Alligator mississippiensis: one gene and its partner. The protein of the gene in region 1 interacts with the protein of each later gene in a pairwise test. Links are inferred from orthologs where the notes say so. Each region holds a gene or a part of one and is shown in the gene's direction. Other genes may lie near its edges.

Region 1 (7,937 bases):
CTCTTTACTTAACATGTAGCTTAAACTACACACCCACATGAACAACCAGCTTTGCCTATATGGCCCCCAGCCCATATGTGTCTCATTCCATGTCTTGAGTTGTCCCCCCATACAGCATGCTCCGTAACTTTGGTTCCCACACCAAAAGCCTGTCATCATTATAGTGCATGGGTGAACATAGTTGGACCTCAGGGGACTGCACCTTAAAATTCCGGTCTGGAAGAGGTGGAATACAACTTTCTGTTCCAAAAACAGGTGACAGCCAGAGACCCAAGATCTAATCAGCTGCTCTTGAGAATGCCATAAAAGGATTATTTATGTAGTTAACCTTGGAACTGTGACAGCGATGTTATTGAAGGGTACCATGCAGGGTTTGACCAAGCATGGGCAGCTTTCATGTACTTCCATCCCTCAGATATCACCACATTGACTGGTACCTCTTGTTGATCCTGGGTCTGATTGCAGATTATTTACCTGCTCTGGCCTTGCATTCAGAGCACCTGCACCTGAAGAGCAGCATCTCACCTGCTCTGCTCGGGCTGCTATGATGCACTAACCCTAGGGCATGTGGCTCGGGGTCCTTCGTGCCCCAGTCCCTGGGAGAGGTTACATCAGGCGATAAAATGTCAGGAGTCAGTTGAGGGATGCCTCTCCCACTTGCCATAGGCATGCCCACATGCCCTCAGTTTAGAGCACCTTCCTCTCCCTTTACCTGGATCTCATGTCTGGGACACTCCTCTTTAGGCTGTCTTTGAACCATCTGCACATTCCCCTATGATGCACATATCCTTTCAGTCTTGGGGCAGGTTCTGGATCTGTTCCACACTCAGAAGCCTCTTGAAAGATTGTAACTCTCCCCTATTTTCCCCTATTTCCTCCTTTTCAGAGGGGGAACCTCTTTCTTGTAGCCATTCCAGCATAACTGTATCCCCTCTTCTCAGCTCACTCCCTCTATAGTTTCTCTCTGTTTTGTATGTCAGCATCACCTTTGGTAGCAGAGCTATTTTACAAAGTTTAAGATTGCCGCAGACCTCCTCAGGCACTTGGCAAAAGCTTCCACTGCCTTCCCTGACAGTGAAGGGGACAGGTACCACATGCAGCCTCATCAGCATCTCTGTTTAATTCACACCCTTTCTCAAAGTCATTTAAAAGAGCTAATGTCCCAACTCTATAGGGAAGCAACAAGTTAGAATTGGTGTCATCTCAAGAGAAAAATAACCAGAGTCTGTGCTCACTTAGCAAGTCAGGGTGCTGCTGGCTTGCTCTTTTCATTGTGAGCTCATCATATGTCTGGATATATATGTGCTGATAGTTTGGGCAAGCCCAGATATATATGCCAATGCTCCCTAACCAGACACATTCAGAACCTCAGTAGTCAACTCCCAGCACTCCTGGGTCCCCAGACTCCAGACAGTCAAGCCTAATTTTTCGGTGTAGTCACCCTGTAGCCACAAGCTACAGCGTATATGCACTAGGGCTGTGTGAGGCTTTGGACAGAGCTTTGGATCCAGAGAAGATTCAGATGCTTCGGGGTCTGAAGCGGCAGATCCGGGTCGAAGCACTGGCCTCATTAGGCTTCACGAAGCGATTTGGAGCTGTCTCGGAGCCGTCTCGGAAATCCAGCCATAGGGTATAATGGGGAAACAATAAAATACCTATAACTTTGTTGTTTTTTGTCCAATTTAGATGACATTTTTAGGGGTGGTAGACTCTGCAGGTAGGATGAATCCTTCCAAGTTTCAAGAAGAGCAGTGCAGGGGTTTTGGGGCAACTGTACCTCAAATTCTTGAAAGCAAAACTCATGTCACGTCTATGTCTTACAACATGGGGGTGAAAACTGCAGGGCTGGTAGCTCTTACTGAGGCCACAAAGCCTGCCAAGTTTCAAGAAGATCGGTGCAGGGGGTTGGGGGGAACTGCCCCTCAAACTGCAGACAAGAAAAACTGGTGCCATGGGTGCTTGTGGGACTGACTGTGTCTGTCTTGGGACAGGGAGGGGAGACTGCTGCTGCAGGCCTGGCTGCTAAGCTGCTGGGTTCCCCCTTACCAATCAATCCATGATTCTCTCAGGGACCAGGGCCTCAGGGCCCAGCTCAATACACAGGACCTAGCTACTACATAACGACTTAACGAGCATCAATTAGCACCTACAAACCCAGGCTAAGGAGAGGAAAGAATCAAAGCAGACAATCAACTAACCCAAGACACAGACAGTCTTGGCACAGTTTTGTCTGTCAGCAGCTAGGGATGCAGGGCCCCAGACCTGCCTGCACCGATCTCCTCCAGCTGGCAGGCGTCGTGGCCACAGCAGGGGCCACCATCCCTGCAGCTGTCACCCCGCTGCGCCTTAGCGCGCACAGTATCACCCATGGCATGAGTTTTGCTTGACCACAGCTTGAGGTGCAGTTCCCACCAAGCCCCTGCACCGATCTCCTTGAAACTTGGCAGGCTTTGTGGACACAGTACGAGCTACCAGTCCTGCAGTTTTCACCCCCCCCACCCCCCAACCCCATTGTAACACATAGACATGACAGGAGTTTGGCTTTCAAGAATTTGGGGTACAGTTCCTCCCAAACCCTTGCACTGATCTTCTTGAAACGTGGCAGGTTTCATGCTCTCAGGAGAGGCTACCATCCCTGCAAGGTTCATCCAAATCAGACAAAAAACAACAAAGTTATAGATATTTCATTGATTCCCCATTATACCCTATGGCCAGATCTCCGAGGTGGCTCCGATGCTTTGGCTGGATGGAGGCGGGAACCCAGTCGGAGTTCCAGATCGGATCGCGGCCATCCGAAGCGGCCAGATCTGAAGCCGGATCAGATTGCTGCTGACTCACACAGGCCTAATAAGCATAGGAAATCCTCCAGTAGCAGTCCTACAATTCCCTGTTCCTGCTTTCTGCCCCTCCCATCCCTCTCTCTTCTTCCCAGAACATAATTTCTTTGCTATTAATCCCTTAATTTCCTCACAGACTATCCTAGAGCAATCAGTATAGCCCAAAGTAATGCTAGTCTGCCCATGCTCACCCAATACACTACTTGCTGGCCTGAAAAGCACAGCCCAATTTTGCAAACACCTTGAAGGTGCACAGTCAGGCCTGTGATTTCTGTTCAGATATTAACATCTAGCACTGCAACATGATTTTGAAGGGGTTTGGTGCCCGATTACATCAGCAAAAGCGCCTAAGGCAATGATGGCATCCTGGAGTACCGTGAGTTTCTTTCAAGGGTGTTGTAGGGTGCTACACAAAGGTAGCACTGTTCGGTGTACAAGAATGATTCACAAGATAAACCCAGTGATTTCAACTAGGTATCCATAATGTTAAAAACATTCTGACCTGTTGTGGTCTATATGATTTATTTGCAACAGAAAAATGGCTCTATTATTTTCCCATACTCAAAAAAGAATGAAAACTAAAAGCCAGTATTTTCCAAGAGGTGCCTTAAAAAGGTTGAGCACCATTCCTGCAAACACTGTTATTAATATATAGATGCATATCCTTGATTAGAACAAAAGCTAGAGCATGCATATCATGGTGTAGCAACAGCCTGGACTGGAAAGGCAACATTTGGACATGATAAATTAAAATGTCTATGCTGCTGCATTTTGTGTGTTGCACTACCAAAGGTCAGAAACCTATTTGGAAAAGAGGTAAGAGAAGATATAGACTGTGTCAGACTAAGGGAGGGAAGCAATCAGCATTTTTCTTCCTGATATGAATACGGTTTGAAAGATTGGCAGGCGTGGCTGTAGTTGGTTAGTAGGGTGTGGTAGACGCTGGGTTGTGGGATAGATAAAGCATTCGTGTTTTGCTTAAGTCTTGGAATCCATGCAACTAAATTGCTGATGAAGCTGGTCTTTTCTTTCCCACAACCACTGCCTAGAATGGGGCATTCAGAAGAGCTAGAGGTAGAAACTTTTAGAAGGTGCTACATCATTCCAGAGGTACACTGGAGAGTATGTGTGTGTGTGTGTGTGTGTGGTAGCAGCAAAGCCCTGTGACTAAGTGAACATGGAGACTCATTTTCCTTCCCCCCCACGAAGGAGTCTCTGCCAGGCAGATTTAGAGGTGTTGGAACGGTAGCAGATTAGGGAAAATTTGCCAAGTAGATAGATGGCTGTTCTGAGTCAGAGAGAAATATAAAGAACTTGGGCTTTGCTGCTGAAGGCTAATTTCCCTCTCTTAAAACCACCCACTTCAGAGAAGGAAATTGTCCAACTTCTCTACTTCAACAGCACTGCAGTGACTGAGATAGCAGTCAGATACCTGTTTGGGGAATCAGGAACAGGAAAGGTGACTGTCCTGCAGGCACTGGAAGGGATAACACTATTTGGCAGATGGGCACAGCAGTTTTCTCCTCCATTCAAAGCACACTGCATTTGTGACCCAGATCTGGAGGCCAGCTTCTAGAGCCCTTTGGTGTCCCACAGCAGGGTTAGTGGGATGTGTTACACTGCACTTCTCAGCATCTCCCAAGTCCACCCATCATGGGTTGCAGGCATGGTGGGACATGGAAAACTACAGTTCCCAGAATTCCTAGGTGCCCATTTTCAGAGAGACCCTCACTCACCTGACAGCTAAAGTTTTTTACATATTACTTTGCCTCTTCAAAGTGCTGTATAGCAAGTACACTCATAAAAATTAGAGAAGGGCTGTAAGCAAAAACCGTGATCCTAATGCCCTCTGAATGATAGCAGTGGTTCAGATTGTGGATCTCACTTTTGCTTCTTGTGCCATTCACCAAGAACAGTAGATACGGCATTCATCCAGCATCTATCTTCCCAAAAGATCCCATAGCATTTAAGAAGCTGTGTATGTACAGCACCACTGAAATGCGGCCACCTCTGGGGTGCAGGCCACCTCAGGAACTACAGGTCCCAGAATCCTCCAGTGTCCAATACCTGCCTTGGTTTCTTTAGCTTAGGAGCAGGGGAGGGACAGAGAGAGACAGAGAGAGGGAGAGATGAGGATGGAAGGAAGGGAGGAAATGCAACGGGCAGAAAGGGTTTCTTATGCCTGGGAAACTCACCAGCCTCCCCCTGCCACCAGCAGCAGGGGCAAGTGGGTACGGCTGAATGTTGGGGGCACCATCTTCCTAACCACGAGGCAGACCCTGTGCCGGGAACAGAAATCATTCCTGTGCCGCTTGTGCCAGGGGGAGGAGCTGCAGTCGGACCAGGTAAGCATCAGGCTGGCACCTGCCCTGAGGGGTAGCTTTCTGCCTGGCATCGTGTGTGCGTGCATGCGGTTGTGTTCTGCCTTCTTCTTGTACCCATCTGGGAAGAAAGGGACCCCTGAGGGAGAGACAAAGCTCTGCACAGGCTGGGCTGGGAGGCACGAGGAAAAGAGGAGAGAGGGAAAGGAGCACACGGGCAGAGAAAGGTTCGGTGCAGGAATAGGAGAGAAAGGGATGGAGCCAGGCTGATGGCAGGGAGGGCACAGCATCTCTGCGGCTGCAGAGGGGCAGATGTAATTTGATGGAGAGACCTTCATCCCTCCCTGGATCCCCTGGTTTTCTCTTTTTAGTGCCATGCAGCTGTCTTAACATGTGGCATAACACCTGTCTTCTGCACCAGAACTACCAGCAACTCCAGAGAGGCTCTGTTTTCTTGTGCTGTCACTACTCCACCTGAAGTGCCCTAGCTTTGAGCCACTGCTTGGCTCAGACTTTAAGCTGAAGCCTGACAGGAGAAATAGCTTTGCCGAGTACAGCCAAAATTAAGAGCTTCCCATCCTCCTTGCCTTCATGCGACTGTCAAGGTAGGAGCCATGCTGAGTGGAGAGTCCCCGACTTTTTATTTTTGATTCTTGCTGTTACTGACAGGGAAATGTAGTAAAGCTCCCAGAAAGCCTTATCAATCAGAAGGGAGAGTTTGGAGGGGTGGCAGCTTCAGGCCTGAAATGTCAGGAAGCCCATCAGCTCAAATCTGTGCAGGAGTTTCCTAGATCCTTTCAGTTTATCAGAGGGAGAAAAAGTAAGAGTATTGTCTCTTTTGCTGCGGGGCTGAGCTTAGGATAGTGAGACCTTTACAATCAAGGTCCCGCTTGCTCTGTATGAAAGTTAAAAATCCTGGGTACTGTTTTGACCCAGCATGCTTTGCCAAGCAAAGTATGATAACATAGTAGTTAAGGCATCTTGCTGTGAACCTGAAGCTGTGTGTTTGAGCCTCATGCTGGACTTGTGCTGGAATCTGTTCCTGTTGAACCAGCTGTAAATATGTACTTGTTCGTTTAGGCAGGAGAACCAGAAGCAGCTGAACATAATGTCCCTCTGTTGGCTGCAGAAACTGGAGTGCTTTAACTGTGTTGGCCTGATGGGCTGCTTGGCTTTGATGCTGACTTTGCCAAAGTACCTGAGCTTGTGTATTTGTAGCACTGTTGTCTGCAGCATTTACCAGCAGCCCTTCACTCAGATGTGGCTGTTTTTCTATATGGTACTGTATGCCTATGTGATTCGGAAGGATTTAAGAGGCCTAATGCTTATGGTTTTCTTCATCTCAAATCTCTTAAAGAAGGGAGGTAGCATCATCTTCATCTTTCATAGGGAAGCTGAGGCACAGAGAGATTGTGGTAAATGTCCCAAGATTGCATAGCCAAGAGAACTGAACCCAGCTCCATTGCCATGTCTTTACTACTACTCAAAAGAGCCATAGAAATATCATATATTGTTACTAAAATTATTATGTTATTACAGTTCATTGCATGGTGTTGTCAGGGATGGGGACAAGTTTCCCTTGTACATTTTTCCTATGTTGGCTTGTCTCTGTGGTTAGGATGAGACTGGTGCCTACCTCATAGACCGGGACCCCACATACTTTGGACCTATCCTGAATTTTCTCCGTCATGGCAAGCTGGTACTGGATAAAGATATGGCTGAAGAGGGTGAGTCTTAGAAACCCCAAACTTCCTTCTTAACACCTCTCCCTGCTGCTGGAAGTGGGTTACATTACATGCTCTTTGCCCTAATTCCCTGACCTCATTCCATTCTGCTGTCTTGAAAATGGGTCAGTTTTCATTTGATACACTGAATAAGTGCTTGGGAGGGAGTGCCCACTAGGATGGTGAGGGAAGCCCAGTTTGAGTCCAACCCTTGAACAAGCTGGTGTCCCCATCACTGCTCCGCTGGTTGAATGGGCTGTTGCAGTTACTGGGGATCAGAAGAGATGGGAAAGGAGCAACAAGGTCACTGTGGTCAAAGGGATAGTAAGTTCCCTGCTGAATTATCAAATAGGATGCAGGTGGCCTTCTCCAATGCAACCTGACAGGGTTTGAGCCCTGTTTGGCTGAGACTGCTTTGTCACTCAGTCCCTTCTCACCCTTCCACTTTTTCCACTAGGAAGGTAGGAGGATGAAAAGCTCTGAGTGGGTTAAAGTGGGAAGGGTGAGGTCAGACAAATCTCACTTGCCTGCCATGTCTGCATACTGACCAGGGAATCTGTGAAGGTTGTTTTTGAGACATCATTGCCCCTTGTGGACCCATTAGGTACCATGCCCCCCACCTACCCTCTCCCACAGGCCTGTTAGCAACATGATCACGTGTGTCTCAGGAGAGGGGCCAGATGCAAACACAGTAGCTTAAAGTGAAACACAAATCTTTGTTGATCTGCTTTGAGGTAAAGCACAATTCAGTTCTGAGATCAGCAAGACAAAGGTCACTGAAGGACAGGGACCAGATGGGAAAACTCAAATTCCTGTAGTCCTAGGACAATGACAAGAAGTGAAATCAGGTCTCACTCTTGAGCATATAGAACTCTGCAGAAGAGAAACTGAGAGTGTATTCAGTGGCCGCTGAATGAAGCCCTCAGGACAGTAACCAAGGGCCAAAGTGAAGCCCTCAGAAAGGTAGCCAGGGGCTTATAATCAACCTCCTCAGTCAGTAAATCAGAGGGAGCAGGTTGTGTACCCCATAATGAGAGCCTTTCTCTCCCTGGGAA
Region 2 (7,602 bases), about 1.1 Mb from region 1:
TCTCTTGACTTTCCTATATAATTGGCCTGATGTCAGATCCTCCCTTGGCTTTTTTTTATAACACTTACTTCTTCATATAGGATGAAATGGGACTAATCCATTTCTTTCCTGTAAATGGGAAGGCAGTTAGCTGTGTTAATCTGAAGTTGGGCAAAAGGCAGGGCAGGATCTATCTACCTTCAAGACTAACAGAGAGGTAAGGTATGAGGTTTGCTAGGCAACAACCTGCTTTGTCAGAGAAACAGGTTGCTATCTATAAAAGCTCATGTCTCTGAACCAGTTAGTTCCGGGGGGGGTGTCTACATGTCACCTTTGTTGTTGTTACTGTGCCATGCTTTAGTGCTTGCTCTTGGAAGTACTAAAGAATAATGCAGTAACTACTTGTACTGTGCTGTACACTGTGCGGTTATTTTTCACCACTACAGCACTGCAAAAGCGGGCTAAAATGGGGGAGTGCGCTGCTATAGCAGAGTAGCTGCTGATCATGTGGAGACTCGCATGATCGCAACATCGCCATAACGCGTTGCTACAGCGACATAAGGCAACATGTAGACGCACTTAGGCTGTGTGTAGATGAAACGACGGGCACGTGTACATGACACTTTAAAGCCGGCTAAATGCTTTCGCACTGCTTTGTATCGGTATTTGTATGCATTGGCGGCATATTGTGCATTAATTCCAGCCACTGTAGGAAATTCGGCCATGTAACGTGCCTTAAATGACTTGAGGCCTGAGTTTTAGTCGGCTGCCCCTACAGCAAAGGAGCGAAGCACTGGGCTCCGTGCAGCTCTGCAGGATGTCCTGCAGGCAGCCCGGCAGCAGCTTGGGAAGACAGGTTCCGCCCAAGGAAAGTGGCGAGCCTGATCTTTTTTTCCCCCCCTCCTGGAGCCTGCTTGCTTGCCTGAGCTGCCCTAGCTGAGTGCCTGCAGGCAGGGGCCATGGTGGGGAGGGCGCTGCTACTATAAAGGGCAACGTCAGCCCCCTCCTGCAGCCCAGGGACTGCTCTGCCTGCCGGCAGCTCACCCTCCCCTCCCCGCTACCAAAGAAGCAGCTAAATCAGTGTGTGCGCAACACAAGTGTTTAAAGGGCACTAAATTAAGGGCACTGTTTGAAAAAACCCACCGCTTCAGTTTAGGGCCGCCGTTTCGTCTACACACGCCCTTAAGACAGTAGTTTTCAACCTTTACAGGCTCAAGGCGGTCACCCCTTGTTATACTCAAGGCATTCCTCCAGCTCTTCGTTTTTGCTCATTTTTTGATGACAGAAAAAAAGAGCAAATCTACTGCTGCAAAGACCTCATGAAGATCATAAGGGGTCAGGCTGCTTTTAAGATTATGGATTCCTTTTTGAAATCTCTGGGCTTATTTTGTGAATCAGGTGTGTGTGCACACCCAACAGTGCTACCACAGTGCAACACTCTTGCAGCACCCTTACAAGGACTTCGAGGCACCCCGGGGTGCCCTGGAGCTGAGAATCACTGCTCTAAGATTCATAGATTCATAGATGTTAGGGTCGGAAGGGACCTCAATAGATCATCGAGACCGACCCCCTGCATAAGCAGGAAAGAGTGCTGGGTCTAGATGACCCCAGCTAGATACTTATCTAACCTCCTCTTGAAGACCCCCAGGGTAGGGGAGAGCACCACCTCCCTTGGGAGCCCGTTCCAGACCTTGGCCACTCGAACTGTGAAGAAGTTCTTCCTAATGTCCAATCTAAATCTGCTCTCTGCTAGCTTGTGGCCATTGTTTCTTGAAACCCCCGGGGGCGCCTTGGTGAATAAATACTCACCAATTCCCTTCTGTGCCCCCGTGATGAACTTAAAGGCAGCCACCAGGTCGCCTCTCAACCTTCTCTTGCGGAGGCTGAAAAGGTCCAGTTTCTCTAGTCTCTCCTCGTAGGGCTTGGTCTGCAGGCCCTTAACCATACGAGTGGCCCTTCTCTGGACCCTCTCCAGGTTATCTGCATCCTTCTTGAAGTGCGGTGCCCAGAATTGCACGCAGTACTCCAACTGTGGTCTGACCAGCGCCCTATAGAGGGGAAGTATCACCTCCCTGGACCTATTCGTCATGCATCTGCTGATGCACGATAAAGCGCCATTGGCTTTTCTGATGGCTTCGTCACACTGCCGGCTCATGTTCATCTTGGAGTCCACTAGGACTCCAAGATCCCTTTCCACCCCTGTGCCACCCAGCAGGTCATTCCCTAGGCTGTAGGTGTGCTGGACATTTTTCCTCCCTAGGTGCAGCACTTTGCATTTCTCCTTGTTGAACTGCATCCTGTTGTTTTCTGCCCACTTGTCCAACCTATCCAGGTCTGCCTGCAGCTGTTCCCTGCCCTCCGGCGTGTCCACTTCTCCCCATAGCTTTGTGTCATCTGCAAACTTGGACAGAGTACATTTGACTCCCTCGTCCAAGTCACTGATGAAGACATTAAAGAGTATCGGTCCAAGGACTGAGCCCTGCAGGACCCCACTGCCCACACCCTTCCAGGTCGAGACCGACCCATCCACCACGACTCTTTGGGTGCGACCCTCTAGCCAATTCGCCACCCACCGGACTGTGTAGTCATCCACATCACAGCCTCTTAACTTGTTCACCAGTATGGGGTGGGATACCGTATCGAAGGCCTTCCTGAAGTCTAAGTATACGACATCCACCCCTCCTCCTGTGTCCAGGCGTTTCGTAACCTGGTCATAGAAAGAGACTAGATTAGTCAGGCACGATCTGCCCACCACAAACCCGTGCTGGTTTCCCCTCAGCATAATTTGCCCTGCCAGGCTCTCACAAATGTGAGCCTTGATAATTTTTTCAAAGACTTTACCAAGGATGGAGGTGAGACTGACTGGCCTATAGTTGCCCGGGTCCTCCTTCCTCCCCTTTTTGAAAATGGTGACCACGTTAGCCCTTTTCCAGTCCTCTGGGACTTGGCCCGTGCGCCACGAGCGTTCGAATATTCCCGCCAGTGGCTCTGCAATGATGTCGGCCAGTGCCTTCAGCACCCTCGGATGGAGCTCACCCGGGCCTGCCGACTTAAAGGCATCCAGTTCTTCCAAGTGACTCTGCACCATCTCAGGGTCTACGTATGGAAGTCTGGCGCCTTGCTGCTGCCTCTCTACAACCCCAGTGAGACACTTGTCGTGCCCCTCACTTAGGAACACTGAGGCAAAGAACTCGTTGAGGAGTTCAGCCTTGTCCCCCCTGTCTGTCACCAATTGTTTCTGCCCATTTAGCAGTGGTCCTATTCCTCCCTGGGCCTTCCTTTTACTCCCAATATATCTAAAAAACAATTTCTTGTTGTCTTTTACTTGGGTTGCCATCCTCAGCTCCATGGTAGCTTTGGCCCGCCTAACTGCCTCCCTACAAGCACGAGCAGAGGAGGTATATTCATCTTTAGTGATCTCACCCTGTTTCCACTTTTTATGTGCTCCCCTTTTGGCCCTTAGGCTGCCCTGGATTTCTCTGGTCAGCCATGGAAGCCTCCTGGCCCCTTTCCCTTTTTTGCCTCACTCGGGGATCGTCTTGCTTTGTGCCCAAAGGATCGTTTCCTTAAGGCACAGCCACCCTTCTTGGGCTCCCATCCCTTCAAAGCTCCTACTCTGCAGTGCGTCCTTGACTAATCGCCTGAGTGCATTGAGATCAGCTTTCCTAAAGTCTAGCACTTTCACCCTACTAGTTACCTTACCCACTCGACGTCTTATGTTGAATTCTATTATTAGGTGATCACTGTCTCCCAAATGGCTACCGATCTGGAGGTCCCCTATCATGTCATCCCGTTGCCAATACCAGATCCAGTATGGCATTCCCCCTAGTGGGACCATGCACCTCCTGTGTCAGGTGGAGGTCCTGTATACAGGTTAGAAACCTGCGTGAGCGGTGGGACTTTGCTGTCTGTGTCTCCCAGCAGATGTCGGGGTAGTTTAGGTCCCCCATGACTACCGCCTCTTTAGCTTTTATGGTCTCCGAGAGTTGCCTCAGGAGCCCCGCATCTATTTCTTCCCCTTGGTGTGGGGGTCTGTAGCAGACCCCTACCACCAAATCCCTTTCTCCTTGCCCCCCATGTAGCCTAACCCACAATCCTTCTACTTCCTCAACCTTGGATTCTGTCTTGATGAGGGCTGATGTATATTGCTCACTGACATAAAGTGCAACCCCCCCCCCTTTCTTCCCCGACCTGTCCTTTCTGTACAATCTATAGCCCTCAATATGTACCGCCCAGTCGTGGGATGAATCCCACCAGGTCTCTGTTAGCCCCTGAGGTACCCTCCTGCCATGCCTTGGCCTTTCTTGGAAATGCAAAGATCAGATGGGGTCTTTCAATGGTGAGGTCCCTGCAGTTTTGACTACCGGCTGTCTGTTTCACTCTCTGAAGCAAGGTCTGACAGGGCTCTTCTACACGTGCATAACGTGGAAGGGACGACAACCCTCCTCCCTCAACAGGAGCCAGCCACGCGCCTTAATGAGATGCAGGAGAGGCTCCAGCAGGGAATGCGCCACACGGGGAAAAACCAACGCCCGCTCACTGACACAAGTGGGGGGCGGAGGCAGGGGTGGGCTGCGCGCGCAGGGGGTGGGGCGGGGCAGAGCCCGCGCGGCATTGTGGCTCCGCCCCTTGGCTCGAGGGCGGGAGGCAGTGGCCGTAAATCGCCGACTAGGCGATTTTTCGTGGGTTTTTTTTCTTGGCGGGAAAAGGGTTCTCAGTTTGTCTTCGCAGTTGAAATAAAACGAATCAACGGTCAGGGAGGGGGCTGGGCTCGGCTCCGAGTCACGTGACCAGGCTCTGGGCTTTGCGGGGTGGCGTCCCTGACTGAGGGAAGCAAGAGGCACGTGCCACCTCGGGGTTGTAGAGCAGGCGTCGGTCACTGATGCCCCTTGTTTTAAACGGGAATTGGGGCTTGTGGACAGTTAGACACGGAAGTCAATGGCAGCCCGTGGCGGCGTGACTGGAAAACAAGAGGGAGGTAGTTCAGCGTGTTAGGTTGCAGTCAGTCAGCGGGCAGTGTAGGTGTGCACACCTACCTACAGACTAACTCAGTAAGAGGCATCTCCAGAGCACAAGCTTTGGTGAACCAAATGTTCCCTTATGAGATGTTCATAGCTCCCAATGAAGGGTAATGTGGGTTCACCAAAGTATGTGCTCTATGTATCTTATTTAAGGATGTCTACAGTGGTGCATATCTACCCTCTCTTCCGGAAAATAAGAGCCAAGCAAGCTGCCCTGCCCAAGGAAAGATTCATCATCCTCCATTCCCCTGTGAATCAATCACCATAAATCTCAAGGCAACCCAGAGGAGGAAGGTCCCCAGGGGCCTGACCCTGCTGTCAAAAAAAAAGAGAGGCAACATTTCTATCTGCTTTAATCGCAGTTGTGGCATCAAGCACAATTTATGTATTTAAGCCAGTCTTTCTCACACCGATAAGTAAATAATGCCATACTTTCCTGCATCTAAGTGGGAAATATGGGATGTGCCCCTTCATTTCTGTTTGGGCATGCATTCACCAAACAACACTAGGACAAGAGGTTGGGGGCGGGGAGGAGTTCTGTTGTTTTAATTCCCTTTTAAATTGGTTTTGCCCTCTTGTTCTCCTGTTTTTAAGTTATTCTGATCTCTTGTTATGAGTCACTGTGAGCCTTTGTTGGGAAGGGTGGCATATAAATCAAATATAGACATAAATAAATACACTGAAGACATCCTGTGAAGTGTGGGGCAATCAGCAGTGGTAATACCCATGCATTCATGTTTCTTCTCAAAACTACCCACCTGTGCACTTACCTACGTGCTGTCTCAGGCTTTTGTCTGCTCCCACCTTCCTCTCTATTTATTTCTGTTTTGCTCCCTAATCCTGGAACTCTCCTGATCTCAGTTTACCAAGCAAACAACCCATATCATGCACGTTTAAGAAAAGATACACCTTAAAATAAATTAGCTAGCAGGATGCATTTTGTGTCTAATGTGTGGAGTTGCTCTGTTTAAAATTTTAGGGATAACTAGTATGGTGTGGTGAAGCTTTATGTTGCCTCATTAGGAGCAGTGAAAGGCTCCTTAGTGAAAAGGGGGAATATGAACGTTGCTATATGATTTTGAAGGGTGCAGAATAGTTCCACATCTCCCACTGGAGCAAAAACATTGCCCTGGCTCTCCCTGCTTTTTCTTCCCTATAGAATAACATGTGGCCAAAAGGGAGTCTTTGGACTTTTTGGTTATGCAACAAATGCAGAATCATGCATTTCAGGACAGAGAAGAAATTAATTCTTAAAAAAAAAAAGTGGGGAAGGAGGTTGTAACATCCCTAATATTTCGTACCTTTGTTTTTGTCTTCTTCCAATATTTGGCATGACAAGATTGTTAAAGTCTCTTTAGGTTGATCTGGAAAGTCCTGTCACTGACTTTACTTTTTCCAGATCTGCTAGGTTGGTAGCAAGGAGAACTTCTTCCAGAAATATGAAGAATAGGCTATAAGTGAATATCAATCTTATGGCTGAAGTCATTAGATCCACACACAGTAGAAATAGTCTTTTATGTAAAAATTCAAATAGCCTAATTAGGATATTTTTTCCAAGCATACATTCTTTTTCTTGTCATTATTTCATTGTTATCAGCTTTTCTTAAAATATTCATACTTTTTACTGACAGAGAATTGGATTGCTAATAGAAGATAACACCTTACTCTAATGATTCATTTTTACATTTCTATCAGAACAAATTCAATTTATAATTTAAGTTTTTCCCAGGCCAAACTCAAATCTGGATCCATGTCCCTTGCAAGGGATGAGGTCTATTTGGAACCTGCTAAAAATCATTCTGGCAAGAGTGGGTGATCTCAAAATAACACAACAGGTACTATCATTTATTTGGGTGCCAAGTACTACTGCAACACATCCAGCCCCTATTAACTCAGGCAATGAAGGACCAATCTTAGAATCTGAATTTAGATTTGAGAAGCTGCATTGCTAGGAGAGGATATGTTTTAAAAGTATAACCATATAATCCATAAAACCTTCTTTTGGCAGACTCTTAGCAGGTTAAATTTTGGGGTACAGTTCTGGGTTTTGTTTAGAGAGTTGTTTTATTACTTACTAGTTTATCTTAATATTATTTGCTTTTATAATTTACCTTGTTTTTATTGTAAGCCACTCAGCCTTTTTGGGGAGGACAGCTTATCAATAAAATATATTAATAAATAAATAAATAATCGCTTTACCTGTTTCCACCATAATACTGTATTTGTTTGCTTTTTTCAGTACTGACTAAGCCTTACTGATTGCTTTTTCGCTATGAAAGCCATGGAAGATCAGGTGGTACAGGAAGAACCAGGATACCAGGATGATGAGGTATTTATAAATAGCATAAAATATGTATAACATAACAAATGCTGGCAAAGGGCATCACACAGAATGGTATGTAGTTCAGCAGAATATCCTTGGTGCAGGGGAGCAATCACCAAAGACATGTAATTGGTATTGAAAATGTTATTACAATTGAAAGCAAAGGAAACCTCATTTCCTTACTTTCTTATCAATCTTATCCCTATCTTGGTCCTTATTTTCTATTAACCTCTTGAAGCACATACAGAGATTAATTATATAGGCTGGTCATTATTATAA

Evidence for each region.
Region 2: the proteins of KCTD17 (region 1) and DMC1 interact in binary tests that used the Homo sapiens proteins (3 or more experiments, as listed by UniProt). The two-hybrid records come from large-scale screens. The link is inferred for Alligator mississippiensis from reciprocal best matches to the Homo sapiens genes KCTD17 and DMC1.

Annotation. Positions count from the first base shown.
Region 1 is NC_081827.1:100,594,698-100,602,634, reverse strand, and holds the start of KCTD17 (BTB/POZ domain-containing protein KCTD17), read left to right. Parts: upstream 1-4,932; 5' UTR 4,933-4,966; coding exon 4,967-5,182; intron 5,183-6,776; coding exon 6,777-6,885; intron 6,886-7,937. UniProt on the Homo sapiens protein: Substrate-adapter for CUL3-RING ubiquitin ligase complexes which mediates the ubiquitination and subsequent proteasomal degradation of TCHP, a protein involved in ciliogenesis down-regulation.
Region 2 is NC_081827.1:99,497,331-99,504,932, forward strand, and holds the start of DMC1 (meiotic recombination protein DMC1/LIM15 homolog), read left to right. Parts: upstream 1-4,600; 5' UTR 4,601-5,030; intron 5,031-7,239; 5' UTR 7,240-7,272; coding exon 7,273-7,329; intron 7,330-7,602. UniProt on the Homo sapiens protein: Participates in meiotic recombination, specifically in homologous strand assimilation, which is required for the resolution of meiotic double-strand breaks.